2 linked regions of the Lepisosteus oculatus genome follow. The protein of the gene in region 1 purifies or fractionates together with the protein of each later gene. This does not show direct contact. Links are inferred from orthologs where the notes say so. Each region holds a gene or a part of one and is shown on either strand. Other genes may lie near its edges.

Region 1 (12,757 bases):
CTTAAAATCAAAGTTTTAAAAACCAAAGACGGACTCATTGGAACACATCAACATCTTGAAATGGAACAAGTAATCGGTTTATTCCATGCTGAAAAAAGGAAGACAGAAACCACAACGTTTCGGCCGTGGAGCCTTCTTCAGATTGTTCACACCTGTTTTCTTTCTTCTTTTTTGCAGCATGGAATAAACCAATTACTTGTTTCTTTGCAGCCTACGCATGCTGACGCAGCTACCCACCTGAACATCTTGAAATGTCTAATTATTAATGACATTTCTTTTTATTCCAAGTGCACCTTTCATCCCAAAAGCCTCCCAAAGTGCTTTATATACGGTGGAAGAACAGCATCCACCTGGATGAACCACGGCAAGCAACCAACATATATGAACACATAGCACTACACAGCACATTGGACAAACATGTGAGCTAGTTTTTCAACATATTAATGAAGGGAGAACCAGCTTTTGCACGTAGAGAGAGATTTAACCAGGACGCCCCTACACTATCCACACTCCTACTCTTTCAAATAACAACATAAAATCTTTCATCTTTGATGGACAAACAGTCTAGACTTCATTTTATATCTCATCCAAAGGACAGCACTGTACAGAGGACAGTACAGTGACCTCGGTGGTCATATCGGAGCACTGACTTTGGAAATTCTGGTCCAGAGGAAAGAGGGACACTTTCTCCTCCATTAACACAATTTGCAGCAGCAACCTGGTTTTCCTTACAATATAATGTGTTGATGCGTTCTCAATGAGTGAGGAAAGGAATGCAGGCAGAAAAACATCAGGGCACTTTTGTCTACCAGTCAGTTCTTCTCCTTCAAATTCTGGCTTTGGAGAGATCAAACCCCAAAAAAGTGTTCAAACAGGTGAACAGCAGAAAATGGATTTCTACCATCCCTTGTCACAACTATTCATGCTGATAACCTTACGTGCCACTAAGTGAAACAATTCTATTTACTTATCTTGCAAGTACAGACAACTGAGCTTTTGTCCTTGTTGAAAAAGGCTCTGTGATTTGTCACCCTGTACATGAACAACTGCTTTCAAGTATTTAGTCTCCCAGGTGACTTTTTTTTTTAGCGTAACAGTAACTTTTTTCCTCCCGATTATTCTGTGCCAAGAAAGTGCAAGTAATTAGGTCATTTCATGTGAAACAAATGTTTACAAGAATCTGTCTTCCTCTTACCCATCACGACAGAACGCTGAGGGACCCAGGGTTCAAGAAAAGAAGATTCTCCCATCAGCAGTCTCTTTTCTTCCTGAAGAACAGAGCAGTGAAGGTCAGTTAAAAAAAACTCAACCAATTTTAAGAAATTAAGTACAAACATCTCAAGCGAAACAGTTTCTATTTGAAAGTGCATTTCTTTAATTTACGTGCTTTAAGGAATGTTACCTCAACCAAGAGGCCCAAATGGAAGTAGGCTGACATTAACAAGTAAGGAGGCAATATTTTTAAGTGTTTGTAAGAATCTAGAACATGCGACCCAGCTATTTTGTGGAGGCTAACACAATACCTTATTTAAATCTTGATCAGGTCCTTGAATCATGTAAGCTATTAACAACATCCACTCAACCAATTTCTAACCACTTCATCCCCTTCAAGGTCATGGCACAGTCAGCTGCAAGTCAAACACAGACATAAACACACCAGGGCCCACTTTCCCAGAAGCCAATTTAACCGAGCAGCACGGTCTTGGATTGTGGGAGGAAACAAGATCACCTGAAGGAAACTCCATGCAGATAGGCTCCAGGACAGGTGAGACAGCAGTGCTTACCACTATGCCCACTTGATCTAAATGCACTGAACCTCCTGCTTGCAACACTTTGTAAGTTCTGATGAAGTTGTGGATTTTCTGCACAGGTCCGTGTCCAATCAGTGTTGCACAGCGCAGCAGCAAAACTGGTACTTCGTTTTGATGTTGTGATAAACACCTATTCATTCTGATAGGAGGCTATTTCAAAACACTGCTAAACATTTAATAAAAAAAGAATGAAAATCACTCTCAATCACTTTCAGCAGCTCAGAATCACCATTGTGATGTACGTCCTTTGTACCTGCCAATGTTAAATGTCATTTGCCAAGTGCAAACCCAAGTCTTTTTGGAATTCTCTTTCTGCTGTCCCTCCACTTAAAATATTTATCTTCTGCAAATGTAATTATGTTGTTAATTAATAATAATAACCAGCTATCAGTGGGGAGGAGAGCAGAGTAATGAAGCCAGTTCATAGATGGGTATTATTAGGAGGCCATGATTGGTAAGGACCAAGGGGAAACTTGGCCAGGACGCCGGGGTTACACCCCTACTCTTTTCGAGAAGCGGTTTTATGTCTCATCCGATGGGAACTTAACTATACCAGAATCTAAACTGTTTATACAAATCTGGAAGAGCAATAATCCTAGAACATATTCCTACTTAAACTACTTTCATCTGCCCATTTACATGTTACAGCACTAAGGGAACTTGTGGTTTGTTATTTGTTAACTAGTTTTCAATCCACCCTATTAGTTAAACTTCGTTCCCTAGGTAGCTTTTAACCCAATAATTAACCTTTTACCCTTAATAGGGTATACTATTCCAGTATCATATGTAAAAACAGTACTGTACATTTAAATGACATTTTGCTGTTGTTGTATGTGCTCAGCAGACAACGGGTATGAAAGAAAGAATGAGTTCTGATGGATTTGATCAGAAAATAGCTTATGCCTGGAATACACAATCAAGGGCAGGTTTAGATGCATTTTACTTCCATTTTTGTTCGACTCACTTGCTTAACATATGGCAAGCCTTTTGCATGTCTACATTTGGAACCATGTGGGTCAAAGTCCAGGTCTATGTTATTCAAGTATAAAACAGTTTAAATTCTCAATGAATCCGCACCTTAAAAATGTTATTCTCAAATACCTTTAATACCTTCTCAGCTATTTAAAATAGTAAATTCATTGAAAGAGTTCGAGTATCCTGAAGATCTACACCTACCCTTCAGATTGCTCTTCCTCAAGCATAGACTATCCCTATTGACTGCTTGTGAACTAAAATATACAGGGTTTTAAATGATCTGAAGCCACCTTATTTTGAAAGGCAATGACGATTCATGACAATAGGCTACTGTGTTTTTACTGAAACATACAAGTTATCCAAAGTTAGGTCATTTGGAGAGACAGATAAATTAGGACAGGGCTAACTTGTGTCTTGCGTTTTAACCCAGAAAAGCCAGCAGCACCTCCTCATGTGAAGAAATAAATGTTTTCTTATCCAAATGAATGTTTTAGTTTTAATGTTTGGGCCTTAAAACGGTTGGAAATGGATGCATCTTACCTGGAGAGACAAACTATTTGGCACAACATTATGCAGGAATGTCTAAAGGGAAAAGAAAAGATGACCGATGTATGCATACTTCATGACACTTGCTCAGATTTTTGACAAGCCAAACGCATAGCTGTTTCCTTTTTTTAGCAGTGACAATTTTGTATTAACTTCATCTTTTTTTCTGCTCTTCTAAATTGGCTTCAATAATCTAAATCCACAAAGAATCGAACAGTCCAATGTGCACGTGTTTGCTACATAATGCTTCTTCGAAACGATTCAGAACATAGCAAGAGATTTACTTATATAGCACACACTTTGTTTTGTAAAGTCTCAAACAGCAAACATATAGTCTTGCAACCAATCATTCAGAACAGCTACAAAATAGTCACAGGGTAAACAGTATATTCTAATCCATGAGTGCATGAAGCTCTGCTTTTTCTCACTTGTGCATTAAAAAGTGAAAATCTATTGACTAAAACACTCCACTCAAAGCGCTTTTACAAGTAATGGGGACTCCCCTCCACCACCACCAATGTGCAGCATCCACCATAGTGCGCCAGAACGCTCACCACACACCAGCTATCAGTGGGATGGAGAGCAGAGTAATGAAGCCAATTCATAGATGGGGATTATTAGGAGGCCATGATTGGTAAGGGCCAATGGGAAATTTGGCCAGGACACCGGGGTTACACCCCTACTCTTTTTGAGAAACGCCCTGGGATTTTTAATGACCACAGAGAGTCAGGACCTCATCTGAAGGACGGTGCTTGTTTACAGTATAGTGTCCCCGTCACTATACTGGGGCATTAGGACCCACACGGACCGCAGGGTGAGCGTCCCCTGCTGGCCCCACTAGCACCTCTTCCAGCAGCAACCTTAGTTTTTCCCAGGAGGTCTCCCATCCAGGTACTGACCAGGCTCACACCTGCTGAGCTTCAGTGGGTTGCCAGTTGTGAGGTGCAGGGTGATATGGCTGCTGGCCACATATGAATATTTAGATATTCAGAAGACATGTGCTCAACTTTGACATTGGCTCATTCTCAACTTGCAGTAAGCATTCAAGGAAAGGCATGCATTTTGACTGAGAACTGTTTCTTAGGATGGGAAACAGTAAAGATAATAATGAGGAAAAGCTCAGACTGGGGTGATATTAGCGGAGTACTAAGAGGATGTTGCTAACTTAAATCAACAATTTAGGTTCTGCTGTAATTTGTAAACCTGTCCAGTTCTCGGGTGGTACTGAACATCTGAACATGCAGGATTAGCAAACACTGTTTAAGATTTAAAATGCATTTAAAATGACTTAGACAGAAAAATGTGCAATTGCAGATGTGCAGAGTGTTACATGTAGACAGCAAATCCTACATATATAAATAAACGAAGGGCTGTAACGTTAAAATTGTACAATGTGGTAGCAAGACCTCACTGCCAATAGGGTACAATTGTAGTCATCCATCTACAAAACAAAACTGCTGCTCTAGAATCAGTCCAGCAAAGTGCAGCCAGATATTTTCTTAGGCCCAGAAGAATGTTTTACACAGCAACAGGATTAAAGAACTGAATCTGTTCAAACTTAAACAACTCGGATTTGGGTTGATCCAGATATTCAAAATGGTCAAAGGCATCGATAAAGCCGGCACACAGTGGTGTTTTACACAAAGGGATGCGGGGGGCTGAAACGGGCCGTCCAGCCATGTTCTCAAAGCTGACACCCTGCCTTCTGTCAAGAAAGGGCTAGATAAAATCCTAGGCTTAATTAGCTACTAAAAAACAAAATTAGGCCTAGATGGGCCAAATTGACTCCTCTTCGCTCACAGCCTCCTCGTAGCATGAAAACTCTCGCTCTTTGAGATGTGTGTGTAGATACAGTTTAAAAGAGTGCGACTAAAAAAATATTTTCCTCTCACTTTAAGCTTTCAAATTGTTATCCTAGACCTTGCCATGCCAACTAAATAAACACTGTGATTTAACTGCGAAGTGCGCGTTTTACGCTTTTTGCAAAGGGCTGCGTTTCATCCAATTCATGCAATTAACATTAGAATTAAAAAAAAAGGCATTTTCACAGAGCCACTACGTGACTTCGCAATGTTAATTTCCCAAACGTTAGGTTTCGCACATATTGAAAATACGGGACAGCAATACGTCGAGTAAATGGTAAAATTACGGACAACTTTACAGTAAGGCGATACGTCAAAACGACAGCTGATGGTGCGAAATAACATTTCGGCAACCATTGTAATGTGCCAACAACACTTAAGTTGCAATCACACTGTTCCAAATTAAACCGTAACTGCTCTTAACGATTCACTACGATTGCAGTCTTTATTTCTCCGAAACGATTCACATAGATCCAGCAATCATCGTATCGTTTAGCAAATGGACTGGTTCACAAGTTGACTTACAAAATCAGCAATCCCTGTTTTGACATTCTGGCAATGTAACTAAATTACAGTGAAGCTCACAGACCACGAATTTCTTCTATTTAGTTCTCCTCCACGTTCCAGCATTTATATCGAAATTGGCTCTCGCATATTTCACATTGAAGTGAATTAAATCTAAAACAGGGAGTAAAAGGTAGTCAATGTAGTCCTTTTTATTACCTGGGGATCTGTGGTACCACTTCCTCATTCACAGGACCGGCTGGGTCAGCCTGGGCCCCGCTGATAGGCGAGTCCGCAGACGCCGAGGGCTCAGGAGTCCCGTGTTAACCTCCACTCGAGTCCGAGGCTGAAGCGCCTCCCCTCCTTTTTGGAACAGGCCGCGCTTCCTCCTATTTACTTGTTACTGTAAGAACCGTGATGAAACCGTTTTTTTTTCCCACCGAGGAAGATAGCCTTCTAAATTGTTAGCGCTGCAACGACATTACGAGCTTTTTATTCCATTAACGGTCACCTTAACTTTTCTTTTAATTGATTTCTTAAATGCTCACAACATAGCACGTTCTTGAGCAAATTCGCCGCCAGGTAACAGCAACACAAGAGTTTGAAGAATTTGCAGCACAAATCTTGTGATGTCAGAGGTAGTTTGTGTTCCGAGTTGGATTTCGTCATTGAAATTATGTGGGGTTCAGGAAAATACGTTTTGTCAAAATGGCACCTGTATTAGGAAAATGTATTAGTTGTATTTACAGTTGTACGTTCTTTTCGCGTAATTTACTGTATATTGTTTAATTATAAGACTAGATTTTGGTACCGTGTGTATTATTTTACACTATAGGATGTTAATTCAATATACGATCTCAGAATATGAAACGCAAACTAAATCTACAGCTAATAAGCCTCAATTATTCTACACTCTTAGGAAAGTTACGAATTCATCACATTCTACAAAACCAGTGGTACTCACAAAATAATTTACCCACCGCGATTTTAAGATGTATTAACATTGTAGTTTCAATGGTGCAGAATTTTTTTCCATAAGAGATCACATCAATAGGAAAAAATAATCTGTGAACCATATTATACTTAAAATACTTCGCACTACTTAAAATAATAGTAATTATTACCTGTATGTATAGAGAGATGTCATGTCGAGGTATTGATGGAATGAAATTGCAAGGTTATAAATCATCACTGGCAATCCACTGAAGCTCAGCAGGTGTGAGCCTGGCCAGTACCTGGATGGGAGACTTCCTGGGAAAAACTAAGGTTGCTGCTGGAAGAGGTGTTAGTGGGACCAAGGGAGCACTTACCTTGTGGTCTGTGTGGTCCTGATGCCCTTGTGTAGTGACTGGGAAGCTATACTGTCAAAAGGTGCCATCCGTCAATTTAGACATAAAACTGTCATTAAAAAGTCATTAAAAGTGTCAGAGCTCTTCTCAGAAAAAAAAAGTAGGGGTGTAATCCCAGCATCCTAATCAAATTCTCGCTATGTATACATATATAATTGCAGACCTGGGTACCTAACTCAAGTCTCAGTGGAGGAATGAAAAACCCAATTCGCTGGATCATACACACCCAGAGCAGGTTTTAAACCCTGACGCCTACCCTTTGGATAAGTACCAAGAGGCCCGGACCTTAGTTTAATGCTTCATTCAGTGGTACACAGTGTCCCAAGTCACTATTCTGGGGGCATTGGTTTGGAAATTCTGGTCCAGAGGGAAGAGCACCACCTACTGGTCCACCAACATCACTGTAGGGGCAAGATGGTCTTACCCAACAGACCTCGGCTCTGAGATCAGGCTACAAGGCAGGTGACGCATCTGCTGCTCAATAGTTGTAATAACTGCACATCTTCCTTTTTGCCAGGTCAAATTTCTGCCTGTTTTAAAACGATATTATTCGGAATGATTTGAAATTAATGTCCGGTTTTTACCATTTTAGTTCTGAATGCAACAGTAGAAAAAGAACATCACGTCCTAGAATGAAGGAAAGACCCCAGAAATGTCCTCCTTTAAAGCATTGCCTTGTACTGTAGCAGAGAATATATACTAACATGGTCTAATGCTACTCTGCCCTTTAATGCTTATGAACATAGAAATGCAGTATTACTTAGACGCCATTAAAAACCTGAAAATAACTAGGCAAAAAGCAAAACGGATGTGTTTTAACTTCTGATTGTAATTACTTTGGGCAGTGTATAAGTTGTTGTTGTTGTTGTTGTTGTTGTTGTTGTTGTTGTTGTTGTTTTTTGTTCACATCTTTTTTCGGATGCACATTTCTCCTTTGTATTATTTCATGTTCAATAAGTAAGTTTGACGAAAAAAACTTACTGTCGCAGCGGGGGGAAAAAACTGCAGTTCCTACATTTCTGGTTAGTGTCTAGGTCCGCTGATTTCCGAAATGAAAGAACAAGTTTGTAATTTTACCAGAAAACCTTGCATCATCAAAAATCTATAATATCTGCCCATGCAGAATTGAGACGATCATCGGCTGTCTACTTTAATACCGATGGCTGAAAACACGCCATTTTGGCGTATGGCTGACGTTAATGTATCGGAATAAGAACAGCAATTAGGTATTCCTTAGTAACAGTAATGCCTTAAAATGTGCTGTCGCTTTAACAATAATATGTATATTACTGTATGCATGCCCCAGTTATTAATTGACAGTAGCAAAAAAACTTAATACTTGGGATGATGCAATAAAACTTAATAATAGTATAAACACTAATTCCAGCACCTCAAATACCACAATGTTGACAAGAACCACTAGAAGGTTTCCTTTTTTAAAAAACAGTTTCAAATCAGTTTTCAAACCCATATGTGACCTACAGTCATTTCCCGGATTTGCTTGGGACTTGAACTAACCGAGCATGCGCAATTCATTTAACAAATATGGCAGCCTCCGTTGTCGGATGTGTTGTGTGGCGTCTGTAAGAAATCGGCAGCAAAAGTCTTCAAGAATTTAAATGAAGAAAGCCGAGTCGTCGTAATTAATTCATTGTAGTTGTGTAAGTCTAACATTATGGTGAAGAAGGACAAGGGAGGTCGAGGTGAGTTGTTGTCATTCAAGGTGCTATCTCTTCTGGTTACCATTGTTATTGGTAGTACAATAAACTCCCTCGGATCTGGTAATGACGCATAGCAATGACCTGTAGCAATCGGGGGAAAAATACTGTTAACAAGGCATAAAAAATAAACTAGTTTGCTTCATGCACGCACGCGATGTTTTGCCTACCTACAGTAGGACCAGGACAGTCGTTGGTCTTCATTCTCCCTTAAGTGAACGTTTCCCCGGTGCAATCCGTACTGTTTTACGAGTGAGCCAAGTTGATCGACATCTATCTTTTCTCATATCCGACCCCCAGACGAAGGTTTTGGTGAAGGAGCTTTATGGCGAGTTTGCGGTCGGATCCGAGTACGTCTGATTTTGATCAAAACGAAGGGAGTCTTTCGTGAAGCCTGAGATCTCCCGTGACAGATGAGAGGAGGCTTACCTTCCATCGGGTTAAGTTGGAGGACGTGGATTAGGTGCTTCACGAATAGTTTGCCCTGCTACCTCAGGGGCTGTGCTGCGGGAGAAGGCGAGAGACTTTCCTGAAAAGCTGAAGATGCCGGCTGAATGCAGTTTCTCTTCGGGATGGCTGTCTAGGTTTGAGATGTGCCCGGCGGACAGACGTTTGCCGATATCAATGCTGCCGAAGGTTTTTGCTCTGTTTTTAAGAAACCCGTGGACGAGCATGACCTAACCCCTGACCGCAATGACAGTGCAGGTGAGACAGGGCTCGGCAGCCAGAATCCTGACCAGGTCGTGTGCAAGTGATCACATTACTCCTGTCCTGGAGTACCCGCACTGGCATCCAGTCAGGTTTCATTTCAAATTCAGAATGCATGGCTTGGCACCTCAATACCTGTCTGACTTACTGTGTTCCTACCCCCACCTTGCAAACCTTCTTTTGTCTAATTCTGGTCTCCTATCTGTCCCCCAAGCCCGTCTACACTCTGTGGGTGACACGACCTTCTCCTGTTATGCCCCAGAGCTCTGGAACTCTACCCTAAGGATATCAGAGGGTCACTTTCCTTGAAATCTTTCAAACCTAGACTCAAAACCTTCTTTAGGAGGGCTTTCATTTAACCCATTCCATTATGTTACGTGCCTCAATTTTGAATTTTTGAATTTTTTTAATTCCAATTTTTCAGTTTTTTTTAATTCTACCCGAGAAGTCCTTGTACCCAGAACCCTTCTCCACATTTTGTCCTGATACAGTTCACTGTAATTAATAATTGCTTAAAGTTATATAGCGCTTTAATCTGGACACTCCACTCAAAGCGCTTTACAGGTAATGGGGACTCCCCTCCACCACCACCAATGTGCAGTATCCACCTGGATGATGCGACGGCAGCCATAGTGCGCCAGAACATTCACTACACATCAGCTATTAGTGGGGAGGAGAACAGAGTGATGAAGCCAATTCATAGATGGAGATTATTAGGAGGCCATGATTGGTAAGGGCCAAGGGGAAATTTGGCCAGGACGCCGAGGTTACACCCCTACTCTTTTCGAGAAACGCCCTGGGATTTTTAATGACCACAGTGAGTCAGGTCCTCAGTTTTACGTCTCATCCGAAGGATGAACTTAACTATACCCGAATCTAAACTGTTGATACAAATCTGCAAGAGCAATAATCCTAAAACATATTCCTACTTAAACTACTTTAATGTGCCCATTTACATGTTACAGCACTAAGGGAACTTGTGGTTTGTTATTATCTTTTTAATTTAGCTTTTAGTTCAAATGGTTCTTTGTTCTTTCTCTTTCTCTTTTTTTATTTCTCTTTTATTGTTCTTTGTTTATGACAACTTTCCTAATTTCTGTTTTATATATTTTCAAGCATAAAATTGACAAATATGTTGCTTTACTGTATGACTGTGTTTTCCTTTACAACTGAAAGTATGTCTCTGAATTTGAAGATTTTATTTTTGCGCTGGGTTTGTAAAGCACTTTGAGCTGCTATTTGTATGAAAGGTGCTCTATAAATAAAGTTTGTTATTATAAGTACTGTAATGCTGCACCCACCTGGTTGATAAGTGTCAGACAGCATTCTCCCTACACATCAGATTAATTCAGGAATTAGCCACGGCACCAGGATTAATACCCCTACTTTTGCCATGGGAATTTTAACAGTCAGATGTTAGTCAAGACCATAATTTTAGGTCTTACCCAAATGACTGCAGCTATCTACAGGACAGTGTCCGTTGTCAAATACTATAGTTGAAAGTTCTGGTCCAGAGCAAATAGTGCTACATGCTGGGCCACAGCACCACTTCAAGCAGCAACCAAGTTTTCCTTAACGATCTTAATGACCATGTCTAGACTTGCATTGCTTCTGAGATCTGTTGAGATCAAGTTACGAGATGGTTTCAACCTCATATGGATGTCATATTTTTGAACAAGTTGTTACCTATATTGATATGTTTCTGATGAATTACTGTCAGCACTGATGAAGATTATCATCTGGTGTCCGGTTAGTAAAATAATAACAGTAGCTAGAAAGCTTCAAGACTTCCAGGAGAGTCCCAGTGTCATGAAATGCTGAAGTGAAGTATTGTAGGATTAACAGGGTTGTGAACAGTAGCTGTTTGCAGTTCAGGCCTCGTATTAATAGGCCAAACATTTGTTGTGTAGGGCCAGGTTGTGTTGCAGGCCCCGTTTTGCTAAGAACAAATGTCCAGTAAGTACCGCTTACTGGACAACCTGAATTTTCAGACAAGCTGATGTAGAGGAGTTTATTGACATATGTACATTGAAATTCTTATTCGTGCTGAGTTCTCAGGACGTGCACAGTACAATAGACAACGCCTTAGAATGTAGACAATACATTTCACACGTAAGTAATAACAACAGGAAGAGTAAATGTGTTGGGGGACAATAAATCTGGCGTAGTGCGGGAAAAATAAACATGGTGGACCATGCAAATAGTGCAGTGCGCAGATATGCACTATGAGTCTGAGGCAGTGCAGTAAGCTGTGGAGGATGGGCATTGCAGTAAGATGGAAACTGTTCTTAAGTCTAGTGGTCTGCGCTTTAATATTGCGGTACTACTTTGTGAACAATTTGTGGCCGGTATGGCTGGGATCCTGAAGGGTGTTTTGGGCTTTATTCTGACAGCGGATGGTGTGAATCTCAATGATTGATGGTAAATCAGATCCGATAATCCTTGGTGCCGTTGCCGAAACACTTTGTATCACATCTCCAGCAGCCATATCACCCTGCAACTCACAACTGGCAGCCCACTGAAGTTCAGTGGGTGTGAGCCTGGTCAGTACCTGGATGGGAGACCTCCTGGGAAAAACTAAGGTTGCTGCTGGAAGAGGTGTTAGTGGGGCCAGCAGGGGGCACTCACCCTGCGGCCCATGTGGGTCCTAATGCCCCAGTATAGTGATGGGGACACTATACTGTAAACAGGTGCCGTCCTTCGGATGAGATGTAAAACTGAGGTCCTGACTCTCTGTGGTCATTAAAAATCCCAGTGCGTTTCTCGCAAAGAGTAGGGGTGTAACCCTGGCATTCTGGCCAAATTTCCCATTGGCCCTTATCAATTCATGGCCTCCTAATACTCCCCATCTATGATTTGCTACATTACTCCGCTCTCCTCCCCACTGATAGCTGATGTGTGCTGAGCGTTCTGGCGTACTATGGCTGCCGTCGCATCATCCAGGTGGGGGCTGCACATTGGTGATGGTGGAGGGGAGTCCCCATTACCTGTAAAGCGCTTTGAGTGGAGTGTCCAGAAAAGCGCTGTATAAGTGTAAACAATTATTATTATTATCTCTGTCATGCGCTGTAGTATTGCTGTAGCACACAGTGATGCCACTAGTGGGGACACTTTCTATGGTGCGGTAAAAGTTCATGAGGAACTGCATCCCCATACGGTATTTCTTTAGGCCCTGCAAGAAGTGCTGTTGTGCCTTTTCCAGACTGGCTACAGTGTTGCAAGACCAAGCCAAGTCGGTGAAGATCTGCAGGCCGAGGAACCTGAAGCAGTTGACAGTTTCCACT
Region 2 (12,777 bases), on another chromosome or scaffold:
AGTCCCCCGGGAGACAGTGGGGGAGAGGCTTAAGGAGTGCTCTTACAGCTACTTGCTTTCTGTATTGGTACAGTAATGATTAGTCTGAGGGTGAACACTATGACAATGATCATTTTTCTCCCGGGTTGGTGGGAAACTCATCTGGACTTTTCTTGGGTCCTGAGTTTGTGTTTTCGCCACCGTCCAAAATCACCCTTAATCTCCATATTGCCCTCCAGGCGCATATGTGAGTGAATGTGTGGACAAATGGACATTGGCCGAAATCTGAGCGCCTTCGCAATCCACGAAGCGCTTCATCAACATCATTCTGACTTATTTACCCCTTTCTTATTTGCTTTGACATCCTGTCGTGTGAATATTAAATCACACAGCGTTTGAAAATGAATACACACTTCTTTACCAATAGGTAGTGACATACAAGTGGCTGAGCGCTCGGCAGTGCCCTGCGCCGGAGAGCACTCTACACAATGGGAGTGCGTTTGAGTGGTCGGGCTACATTGTGCTGTAGACGGGCCCGGAGAACAATTATCTTCAGTACACACGCTGCATGATAGGAGATGGCAGGCCTCCCTCTAATCTCAGAGTGGTTTAGAATCCATGTCATAAACGATTACACATGCTCGGTTAGAGACTGAGGGTGCGTATATACGCTATGTAGGAAGAGTTCAGTCTTAGAGTAAGGACAAGTCCATTTCAAACTGTGATTCACGTGCACTGGAATTTGTTGTTGGTTTTTTTTTTCCCACAAATACGTTCACAGGATTTTGTGAGGATCACTCAGTCCCAGAGGGCTTCCTCAGCAGCTGCTCCGTTCCATTTCCTCACACGCCTCTCATGGGGCGGCGCGGGCTGCGCAGGGCGGGGCCCGTCTGCGCCTCTAGTTTTGGCGCGAGCAGATCACAGGCCCGCACGGGCCTTACAGTGCCCAGCGCAGAACAAAAAGCCCAAACATTTCTCTTCTCCCTCCCCCGCCTTCGCTTGTCCATTCATCTCCCCCAGCGCAGATCATTAATCCCCGACAAGGTCTCTTGTAGAAATTTAAAAGAATATTTTTTTTTTAAAAAAGGAAGGGCACCACGGATGACTTTTGGAGACCCGGTGTTTAAGAAAAATTCCATTTTTGGGCTGGTTATTGAACACGATTCCTCCTCCTTATTCTTTTCTCCTCTACAGGAGCTACACAGGAGGCCTTGTGGCCACAGCAGCTTAATGGTCTGGACAGGCCCCCCTTCCCCGCCTCACAATTGAGCTCAGCCCTACCGGCTGGCAGGAGAGCTTCACGCAGACCGTATGAAGCCCCGAGTCGCATGGAGGGCCTGGCTGCCGATAAAGAAGCGGCCGTTATGCGTTTGTCGAGATGCGTTCCCGCCCTCGGGCCAGAGGCCGCAGACAAAAGGCTCCCCCTGCCCGTGAATGGACAGCGGGCTTCGCTTGCTTTGGAGAAATCAGACAATGGCCCAGATGGAGGCTCCCAGCTACTCCTAATGGGTTCCACACAACCGGCCCATTTTCTGCGCGCATCGGAGAACTCTTGCGCTGCCCTGAAGCGGTCCACCCCGCGCTGGTAGAGCAGTTAATGGAAGCCGCCGCTCAGACACTCCTCGTCACGCCTGGGCACACCCTGTCCACTTACCAACAGTGTCCCCCCTCTCGGGGAAATCTTTCTTACGGGCCTTGTGCTGTCTCAGATCAGCCCTCATTTAAATGGATTAAAAACAAGCTTGATACAGTACATTTTCAGAACTGCCACAGTAGGATTGTGGGTACAGTGATGTTACATCGAAGACCAATCCATTGCAATTGTATTTGTACCGGAGAGTTTCTATAAAAAGCAGGAGAAAATGAAGTCGCCTGGTGCTCTCCTAGGTGGGTTACTCCCATGGATTCTCCCAAGCTTTCATCAGGGCCCAGTTCCTCCTGGGGCTTAATACCCCCCAGCCTTGCTTGGGCAAGGTTTCAGAGTGCTATGTGATCTGGTTTTCTGCCGGTGGGAGAAAGCCCAGAATAGCTGAAAAGCTTATGTTAGACCCTCACATGGGAGGTTACACACTTACGTCTTTAGAGGGGAGAGTGTGTGCTTTATTCTTCCCGGCTGCCCCTTTTTTAACATCTGTTCCCCTTTCAGAGTGTCAGCTTTCCCCTTTTGAAACATTTTGCACCAGAGTCCATTTGTCTCTCTTTCCTGTCCCAGCCCTGGGCCCAGTTTTCAAATCAAATCTCCATGATGGCCTACCCTCCAGCAGGCTACAGCCCAGCCCAGCTGCAGGGTCCCCACATGCTCTACTGGGAATGACTGTAACCAGTGCCGTCTCCATCTATTCACAGAGAGCTCTAGATTCCTGAGAAGGGCTTCAGCGCTAACAATACAGCAGGCATGAGTTTAAATGGGTGACGCACAGCTTTTATACGCTTTCCCCTCCACTGGGGAAAGAAAACATGGCATTGCACCATATTGTTTTAATTGCACAGCGAAGAAAAAAAAAAAAACAGCTGAGTGTTTAGACCTGAAACAGGAGCTTCAGGTTCTTAGGTTTAACGTAAAAATAAAACCCTTTTCATTTGGCCTCTGTAGCACAAATTTCAACATGTTGGGTACAGCAAGGTGGAAAGGCCTACACTGCCTCGGACGAGTGGGTTTTGTAGGCACTGTACCAACACCCCTATTTCTCCTCTGCAAGCTGTAGAGCTACAGTGGCCCATAGCAAAGTAAAGCACTCCCTCTTGTGGCGTTTTAGTGAAATTACAAGTGTTCTTTAGCCTAGCAAGAATTTCAGCACAGGTCACCCCTTAAAACTTCAGCTTTAATGGATAGACTAATGCATATTTAAATGACTTGGATCTGTTAGATTTCTTGGAAGCAGAATATTTGACCTAGTTTTACAATTTATTCTGATGAAAGTCATGGGACCGTAGCCTACACAGGTTTCCAATGCACAGCTGCAGGATGGAAGAATAAATTTTGAATAGCTCATCAACCTTAACTTTAGGCAGAAACCACAGCATCCTGTAACAATGAGGGAAGACTCCATGAATAGCACACAGCCACCTGATTGAGGTCAATACTGAATAGCATACACCTTTTCCTTTTCTGCACGCGAGTTCTTCAAAAAGATGACAAGGCAACACTTTGAAGAGAAGCAGCATAGCTCAAGAGCTCTTCCACTGTGGCAGAGAGAGACCTGCAAGCAGGAGTGGACCTCTGGATCAACAAGTGCAGGTTGAGCCTGCAGAGGCAGCTGGTACACAAACATGCAGCAGAAAGGAGAGGTAGGACTCGAGATCTTAAAGGCTTTATTAAAAACATTCAGCCAGTGCCTTTACACAGGAAGGCACATTAATTAGGATGTGCTTGTAATGCATTACATAGGTGTAGCTTCTCTAATTTTGCTTTACAGCTCTGCCTTTTTAAAATTTGTTCAATTCTCACACATCACAATTTGAAGGTAGAGTCTAGGAACAGGGGACTTTGAGTTAGGATTTACAACATGAAGGTTCTCCTCCCTCAATCACAACTGAGGCCACAAACAGAACAAGCAAGCTCCCGAGTCATCAAAATACATTTTATTGCAGTGGAATGGTCCCGAGAGAGAGTGTGTTGGGCCCCATCTTGACTAGTGGGGGCCAGGCCAGCTCTGCCCCTACAGCTGGAGAGGTCCACATCCCCCGTCACCTGCAAGACACCAAACCATCCATTAATGCCTCTTTCAACCACCCATGCAGTCACACAGCCAACTGAAGTTCACGTACTAAATTCTAGATCTGGAAGAACCAACCAGTTTGTTGGGACAGCTGCTGAAGTGCAGGAAATTGTAAAACTGTGCAATGATTGTTCAGACCACAGAAGAAGTCAGTGCTACTATAAAACTGAGTCAGCATACACGTTCAAGAACTCCATTTTCAGGACAACTCTAGGCAAGAAAATAACGAGGCCATCTCTTGGTCGTTACCTGAATGAGATTCTTGGATCAATTACTATTTCTTGAAAGAGGAGACGATACTGAGCTTTTAGGTCAGGTGCAAGGATCGACACCTGAATTTAGATTCAGGATATCCAGTTAAAATCCCAATCCTGGACCCAACACCTGAGCTCTTAACGAACACGGACTTAATGGGTTTTAATAGGAACGGAGAACTGATCATAATCAGTCAAAGAGCAACTGAAGAAATAACCTCCTAGGAGGTTATCTCCAACCTTCACGTAGAAAGACTTGGAAAGGATCTAAACAAGCTACTGGTTAGTTCACTTGAGGATTAATTTTGGTTTGAATGAGAACTAGAAGGTGTGAGGTGAGGTGGGGTCCCCCACCCCCAATGATTGAACACTGACTTCCTTACCTCTCTCTCTCCAGTCACCAGGCCTGCCAAGCTACCACGAGACCTCCCCCCCAACACCACGTTTCATGGGGAGGGTTGAAATGCCTGAAACAAAGACCAGCCATCCTTTTAGAATCACTGCGCAACCCAACCTCAATACTTATGCTACACAAGCTCCAGGATCAACGGATAAAAACCAGCTGCCTTCGAAAAGCTTCCCGTTTGTCACAGTGCTTCAGAACATGAGGTGAAATCAAGGACTGCTGGGCAGTATGTTCATTGGAAGTGTCAGAAATAAGAAATAATTCATCACGAACACTGTGCAGAGACCGGAAAGGGCGAGCAGCCGTTCAGTCAGATCGAGGGGAGATTATTTAAAAGTCGGACGGAAGGATAAACTCACCATTTTCAAATCTCTCGACGTCTGCTCTTCACCCAAGCCCGTCTCAAGGCACGCACGCGTCGTCTGGGGTGATCTGTTGAGCCAAGAAACGGAACGTTAACCATCCTTCCTCCCCCAACTCTGAAAGATCTTTCCTGCTCAGGTCATCACAGAGGTCCTGGTTAGCCATCATGTCCCGAGTAGGGCATCATGGAAACATTTCACAAACCTGACCTGCAGTGACCACAGTGCTTCAGAACATGGATTGAAATCAGAGGCCACAGGGTGGCCTGCTCATTGGAAGTGTCAGAAATGGAAAAATCATTCATCATGAACACTGTGCAGAGACGGGGAGCCCTTGAACCGACAGTTCCACCTAGATTTCGATTAGGGGCCAATTTGAATTCTGCAATTGCAATCAAAAACCAGCCCATTTTCGCGCAGGTGACTCACCATTTCAAGTCACTCGATTGCCTGCGGATACACCCCCGCCACTCCACTCCACTCGGATCCGTCCCCACAACCTCTCGGGACATGCTGTTGCGACGTCGCCATCTTGAATTTCTCCACGGCGATCGGCAGCACGTCACCACGTGTCACTAAAACAAAAAGTAAAATATACAGCCGGTTTCTTAAACAATCTCAGCGCAACCTCCCATGCAATCGCTTTCACATGAAACAAATACAGAGGCACAGCCTAGGCGAACAGGGGTGAAGCTTTTCAGTCGCTGAGAAGCTTCTACCGATAAAGGACACGCTTCTCACTTCACAAGCGAGTATATTACACGTGCATCCTACGTGCAGACGATCAGTCGAGTCCACAGTGTTTCAGAACATTTAGTGAAATCAAGGACTGTTCATCGGAAGTGTCAGAAATAAGAATAGATTCATCATTAACACTGAAGGAGACTCAGACTATTCTCATAAGAGAAGGACGCTAGTCTTGTAAAAATCCCGCATGAAACCCAACTCCAAGCGGGCCCGATGTAGGCCCGTAGCCGCATCTTGGGGTGCGCAGATGCGTCCATTTAAGTCTGCAAACTGGGCAGACCTTTGTACGTGGAGCTACACAAAGCCAAGCTGGGCCCACATGGCCTAGCCTAGGTCAATCCAGCACGCCTACGCTGAAAAACAGCAGCGCCCAATACATTCAGTACTTCGGCAAGCACTCGTAATGGACAGCTGGACTTCCCCGAGACAAGCCAGATTTAATAAAACTAATGCACGGAAATGCTGAGCTTTTACTAACACTAGCAACAACTAAAACAAACCACCACTCACCTCCACCGAGCGAAAAGAGAGGCTCAATAGCACCGCGAAATGAATTTATGGGGTGAAGGTCTGGCTCCGGCCTGAATTCACACTTCTTATTGGATAGTCAATGCAAAAATAGCCGTTTCTTATGCGAAGGAACCAATCGCCTCTGAATTCTAAAGCAACACTCCTTTTCCGCTGGAAGAAGGGGAAGCTTCCTATTGGCTATTTAAAATGTATTTGGTCACGAATCAAATGTGAGTTTTAGCGTGAGAGGGAAACTGACTTGAAGGACGTCCAACGGTAGATAAAAGTAGTACAATAGACTGATGGAGCTATAGCCAATGAGCATTCAGCTGTGGGCGGAGCGTGGATGGGAGGGCGGTGTCGAAAAGAATTGTGGGGTCTGTAGTGCTCACTTGATCGGGGATTGATTTGGAATCGAAGGCCCCAGCTGAATAAATGAACTACAAGCCCCACAATGCCCGGTAAACAGTTCACTTCCTCAAAAATCTGGCTGCTGTCAGGGAAGAAGATGTGGACTATAAGAGCAGGCTGAGTGCTTTTGCATCATTGGTAAGAGGTTTGAGTTCGTTATACACAGGTTTTCCATCGCGTAGTTCGACCAAAACTGTTTTGCTAGCCCTTAGGTTCGGGTGTTTGCGGCTGACACCATCGTAACACGGAATCTCTCTCTCCTAATTCTAGACCAGAAATAGCCCTAACGAGTCACAGCTTATTGAGAGTACGACAGCGATCCATGTGCCGAGAGACGAGAACAAATGTCTAATTAAAATCTGGATACAACTGCAAGACTGCTATGAATTTTTGACTCTCCTAGACATCTGTTTCCGTTTCTTTAAAAGCAATCGTAACACAGCTGGCTAACGCCATACGTGTCTTGGCGACACAACGATTATCTTGCGAACCAATGGGCTGATGTGGAGAGCGTCCGTAAAAAAACATTTGATGAAGTGTTCCTGGCAAGGTAGGAGAGTTTCCACCGAGCCTGCCGCCGGCTCAGCAGGGGCTTCATTTGTTTAGTGTGCGATCCGTCGCGCTGGCTGATTCAGTGAATTCATAAGCGAAAAGCGCCAGTACACGTCGTCACCGAGGGAAGGAGATGCACCACGCATCGGGCGCTGTGTCTGGGAAGATCTCGCTGAGAGCCAGCGAGCCGTCTGGTGTCACAAAGTGTCGACGCGCATTCCCGTCTGAGGTGCGATCAGCTGTGTTCGTGCGAGACTGGACGGGCTCGGGGTCTGTGATGCTTTCTGAGGTGTCCTCTCGTTTCTTTGTGCTCTGTATCTTTCGGTTTAGTGATGAAAGGTTTGAGACGGCGACGTTCCCCGAAGGGGGGGGGCATGTGGGGAGCTGAGATCCCCGTGATATTTGTGGGGTCTCCTTCCGCTTGCACTGGAAGAGTGGGGCTCGGTCGATTTCAACAGTGAAACGAAGCTCACATTTCAGACTGTCGGTGGCAGCAGATCCATACTATAAACTCTCTGTTCGTGTTCATAGACCCGTTAATAGAAGTATCTTAAGGGATAAACCCTTCCATTTATATAGCGCCTTTCTAGACACTCCCCTCAAAGCGCTTGACAGATCATGGGGACTCCCCTCCAGTGTGCAGCCCCAGCTGGATGATGCGACGGCAGCCATAGTGCACCAATACGCTCCCCACAGACCAGCTCTCAGTGGGGAGGAGAACGGAGTGATGAAGCCCAACATGTATGCACCCGTGTTTCAGATTGTTGTGTACAGGCTGTTCAAATGACACAGGCGTCATATCCGATTCATTGCTCCAGCTCTCAGTGTCACGTTAGTAACGCATTCTCCCTTAAAACTAGTACGTCGAGTTTGATTGAAGAGATGAAGTCTTCACTTTGCTGGCTACGCGAATGAATTAAGTATCGCATTGGGGGCACGTGGTGGTACTATCGTTTCTGTTGTTGTCCTTGTACCCACCTGTTCTTGAAATCGTGAAACGTCGAAGTCTCTGCAGTTCCTGGAGTGCGAGTCTGGAAAAAGCCACAGACGTCTGAATCTGACCCGAAGTGGTACGGGCGAGGAGCACGCTGTATCAGATATACAGTGACACGCTGAATGAAAAATGTTAAATTTGCAGCGACTGTACTCGTTATACAGAGAAAGTGCGAAATCGTTATAGAGAACGGATGCAGATGTAATGTAATAATTGTTGACCTTTGAAACCATTCGCATTAATGAGCTCTCAGCTATGGTTATGAATGTAATTATTTACTTAGCAGGCGGTGTACCAACACATGCAATTGTGTTCATATCAAAGTGAGTTGCTGCTGTTGCACTCGGAACAAGTAAAGAACACAATGCTTTTGTGTGGCGCAAGTAGAGGCCGTTTAATTTGTAGCCTCGTGTCGATTTTTGGAAGGAAAAACAGATTGATGTCAATCAGTAAGACGGCTACGGTCACTTAAACGTGTTTGTGAACTCGTCTCGGAAATTATACAGCTCCGGATTTTTTTTTAGCATTCGGATATGGACTATGATACGGCGTAGGCGGCTCTATTCATTACTGTTGTGAAATCTAAAAAAAAAAGTGCTGGTAAGGGACACTGACGTCACTTTGGAATAGTACAGTAGTAAGCGGAGAGTGGGCAGCCTGTGTTCCGATTGGCCGAGGCGCCGCCTCATTAGCATACAGGCAGTCCCGTCGCGTGCCTTTCTGTTTACATCACCGTGCAGAGCAGCACTGGCAGACGGGTCTCAGCGTGCTTTGAGGACTGTAATCGGATTAATTGAACAACTTTTGTTTCATTCATTACCGTTATGGTACAGAAATGTGCACTAGACTTCAACGCAAGGCTGTAGGTTTACAGTCTTTGTGAGTGAATTAAAGGTAACTGTCTCCCAACAGGTAAACAGCCGGACCGCAGCGTTGTCTTCTGACGTTGTGCATTTAGCTGTGTGATCGGGGTTTTATTCGGGCATTTCATCGCTCGCAAACAGTAACTTTCTGGAATTTTTGTTTAGCGCATTTAATCAACTAAAACGTTTTCAATTATTTTTCCCTCTAAGGTTTCGTTTGGTATGAGTCACATTTTCCAAAATCAGGTTGGCTGACTTTGAGTTGCCTTTTTTTTTTGCAGGGGGAGGTGGTCCCGGACCTTCTCTCACTTCTCTCTTTTTAATCGAGCCATCGATTTCATTCAGCCCGGTTTTGTTTTTAACGCAGTTACGGAATTCAGTAGTGCGCAGTTTTTCTTGAGCTCCGAGCTCTCCTTGTTATTGGTGGTAGCTAGCGCTGACAGGGTTATCTTGAAGTGCTTTTGTTTTGCTCCCTCTAGAAGTAATATTCTTAAACAGACCCGATTGTATCTCCAGATTTCAATTTGTAGTCGATAACCCTTTACCGCGGGATTACAAATGGATTATGTCATCTCTCCTAATCGATTTCTGCAAGATTCATCATAAACACTGGATTGACTTAACATTGTGCTATGATCGCATCCTTGTCGCCAATAATTATTGCCGTAAATAATATTTTGATGTATGTAGCCGCCGATGTTTATCCAAGGCAACTTGAGTTCAGTATATTAGTCTTTTAAACTAGTTAGTAACTGTCAGAAGTCGTTTAAGGCTTTATAGAGCAGGATGGTTTAGAATTTCTTTTCCTACTTTGGAACATGGTCTTAGTTGTTTGGAACATATGTTGTGACCATCATTGATGACTATTTTCCTTCTTCGCTGTTCAAAAGTATGGCGTCTAATTTTCGGAAGTGTTTACCTGCGAGGCATTTTCCCAGGAACTTGATGGTAATGTTTCTGCAGCGCAGGATACTGAAACCTCAAATTCCAGTGCCACATTTTACTGTTAATTCTTCATCTTACATTTGTACACAGCATGTGGAAAGTAGGACATTTCATAGTCCCTTGAGTCTGAGGTGAAGACCATGTCAGTTTGAGGTCAATAATGAGGGATAGCTTTCTTCATAGCTACTAGCCCACACAGCCTCCAGCTCTAGTTGTTGGAAGACGTGATTTTGAGGAAAAATTGAGTAAAGTAAAAGGAGAGATTCTTTTAGAGGTTGTCCACCTTCTAGGGAGATGGGGGCTACCTGTGTACTTGTGATAATTAAGTTGCAGATACAGTGCTTTCTGTCTCATATCAGCACGGGCAGCCCTCTTGTGTGATGCACAGTATCGCAGGTACAGTGTGGGATCAGGCCATTGTCAGCAACCGGATAGCTGTTTTTCCAACCAGGAATAGAAATTAGTAACAGAAGGAAAATGGCAAGGGACTCCTTGAGTGAATTACTGTGAAACAGACGGTGGTTTGCAACCTGTTATTTGGGGATCTGTAGTGTATAATCTCCACCATGGCTGGAGAGCATTAATTGTAGGTTGGATTTTGCTACTGCAAAGCCAGCTGACTCTCCACTCACCACTGACTGTTCAGCGAAGTTTCACAGGGCCATTTCTTTTGTGTCCTTCTGGTTTCAGAAATGGGAAAAAAAAATCCTGTAGTTCCAGCCCTGCCCCCCTAATCAGGCCTCCCACTGCTTAGGTCAACAGTAACTGGTGCTTTAGTTCTGGGTGGGTTCTGTTGTGCCCAGTGTGCCGTACAGGTGTCCTTTTTCTGTAGTCTCTGAGCCCTGCCCAACTTCTCCGTTTGTCTGTGTCTTTGCCCTTTTGTTCCTGCTCAGACTGTTGCAGCGCTGGTGGTTAGACGCGTGCTCATTTTTTTCGGTTTACTGTCACGGTTGAGACTGTGGGGGGGGTGAGGAACGCAGAACAAAAAGGATGGGTTCTGAAGTTTTCCATACTCAAGGAATGGTCTTTCGGGTAGGCTGCAACATAAGCTCAGTTTGCAAACAAAAACATGGCCCCCAAAGATATGTGAAGTTCCTGTTTTAGTAAAAAGAAGTAATTAACTATCATAACAGATGTTTTGGCACTCTTGCTGGAAAGAAAACAAAAATCTTGGCCACAGAGCAGAGTTTCCATTTAGCTGTCAGCCTGGGGTTACAGTGGTCTCTGGAGTTATGGAGTGCCAGAGTGCGGTAGCCAATGGGCAGCCGGCGTCCTGAGTGCGGTAGCCAATGGGCAGCCGGCGCCCTGAGTGCGGTAGCCAATGGGCAGCCGGCGCCCTGAGTGCGGTAGCCAATGGGCAGCCGGCGCCCTGAGTGCGGTAGCCAATGGGCAGCCGGCGTCCTGAGTGCGGTAGCCAATGGGCAGCCGGCGCCCTGAGTGCGGTAGCCAATGGGCAGCCGGCGCCCTGAGTGCGGTAGCCAATGGGCAGCCGGCGTCCTGAGTGCGGTAGCCAATGGGCAGCCGGCGTCCTGAGTGCGGTAGCCAATCTCGGGCTACAGTGACAAACGAAAGGGGAGACAAGATCGCTGATGGGCTGACAGTGTGGTTTTTTTTGCCTCTCAGGGTGCAACTGTCAGGTCCAGGGAGGCTGTGCTGGACTATGAGCTCCAGTAAGACTCTGCGCTACAACCGTTTTTCTGGAGGTGCTGCAGCAGTCGTGGCCAGTGTCCCACCTGCCGACACTGCAAACACGGTAAGGAGGGCCTTCTGCCAGGGCTGGGGAGGGGGACAGTGGCCGAATTTAAGAGCAGACTTAAAACAAAGGTATCCTCTGGCGTTTTTTTGTCTAACCTATTTTAGGATAGTCGATTTTAGGATAATTCAGCAATAAATGAATACCACCTTTGAAGCTGATGTATTTCACTGTTTTTTGGACACATATTACATATTGTTACAGCAGTAATTCTTTGAAAGTAGATTGGGAGACATTTAAGTCTTGGGCAGTTAAATATTTGAAGATTTCCGGGCACATCTGCAGATCTTCCTGTTTGCAAGCAGGAGGGACATGTGCACTGTGGTGCCATGTGGTCTCTAAGGGATTCATCTTCCTCACTGCCTGACGCAACAGCAGCATCAAACCTTTTTTTTTTTTCTCTTTATAGCAGACTAGGATGGAGACCACCTTTGGACCTGCATATGCAACAGTCACCACTATTACGAAAGGTTAGTCTGATTCTCTGTGCGCTTGCCTCATGCTGCATTTATTGCTGCAGTCTTTAATTTCGAGACAGGGCCTGAATTCCCTCAATTCTAACCCACCAGCAGACTCCAGACCTGTCGCTTGATAGTGTTTCCACTGGGCTGGCGCAAGGAGCTCTTCTGATGGGTGCACTGGCAACATTATTCAGAATATTTTTGTAAAAATATGACGTTTGAAGAGGATTATGTTTGATCTGAGTCTTTTTTTTTTTTGTGCTGGTTACGGTCTGTTCTGTAGTCCCTACGGGCCAGGTCGTGGATATATCCTGCCTTTTTATCCGGGTGCCCTCACAGTCGCTTGACATTGTCCTGAATGGACTGTCGATCAGTGTGTCTTTCTGGAGCTGATCATCAGTAGCAGAGCCTCACAGTCCAGGAGCCCAGAGGCCTACAGGTTGAGGGCCCTGCGCTCGATCATTTGCTTTTTGTTTTATACGACCTCAGATCGCTGGAAAGGCTTTCTGTGCCTCTTCTGGACCGCCGGGTGGCTGCACCTCTCTTGATTCTGCCATCTGTTTGTGTGTGCTTTCCCAGCTGAAGGATCCACCAATTACAAGCAACATCGGCGGACTCCCTCCTCCTCCAGCAGCATGACCTACTCCCCCCGGGACGAGGACGACGGCATGGTCAGTGCCCCCGCCACCTCCGTCTGCACCTGCAGGGGCTACCCCAGGGGGGTGACCCCAGTACGGAAGTGCCGGAGAGCCCCCTGGTTGTGGGGCATTGCAGCGCGCGGCACTTAGTGGCTCTGCTTTGGCCGCTCTCATCGGTATCGC

The links.
Region 2: the proteins of map3k2 (region 1) and traf7 purify together in Homo sapiens (affinity purification with mass spectrometry; 3 studies listed by BioGRID and IntAct, with this or other methods). This does not show direct contact. The link is inferred for Lepisosteus oculatus from reciprocal best matches to the Homo sapiens genes MAP3K2 and TRAF7.

The regions. Positions count from the first base shown.
Region 1 is NC_090707.1:32,274,425-32,287,181, forward strand, and holds the start of map3k2 (mitogen-activated protein kinase kinase kinase 2), read right to left. Parts: upstream 6,338-12,757; 5' UTR 5,918-6,337; intron 3,369-5,917; 5' UTR 3,327-3,368; intron 1,269-3,326; 5' UTR 1,251-1,268; coding exon 1,196-1,250; intron 1-1,195. Other genes in the region: ercc3 (general transcription and DNA repair factor IIH helicase/translocase subunit XPB), read left to right, coding at 8,723-8,750. UniProt on the Homo sapiens protein: Component of a protein kinase signal transduction cascade. Regulates the JNK and ERK5 pathways by phosphorylating and activating MAP2K5 and MAP2K7. Plays a role in caveolae kiss-and-run dynamics.
Region 2 is NC_090714.1:12,210,799-12,223,575, forward strand, and holds the start of traf7 (E3 ubiquitin-protein ligase TRAF7), read left to right. Parts: upstream 1-6,444; 5' UTR 6,445-6,526; intron 6,527-6,539; exon of another isoform or gene 6,540-6,938; intron 6,939-8,657; exon of another isoform or gene 8,658-8,846; intron 8,847-11,365; 5' UTR 11,366-11,402; coding exon 11,403-11,495; intron 11,496-11,904; coding exon 11,905-11,965; intron 11,966-12,535; coding exon 12,536-12,627; intron 12,628-12,777. UniProt on the Homo sapiens protein: E3 ubiquitin and SUMO-protein ligase that plays a role in different biological processes such as innate immunity, inflammation or apoptosis. Potentiates MAP3K3-mediated activation of JUN/AP1 and DDIT3 transcriptional regulators.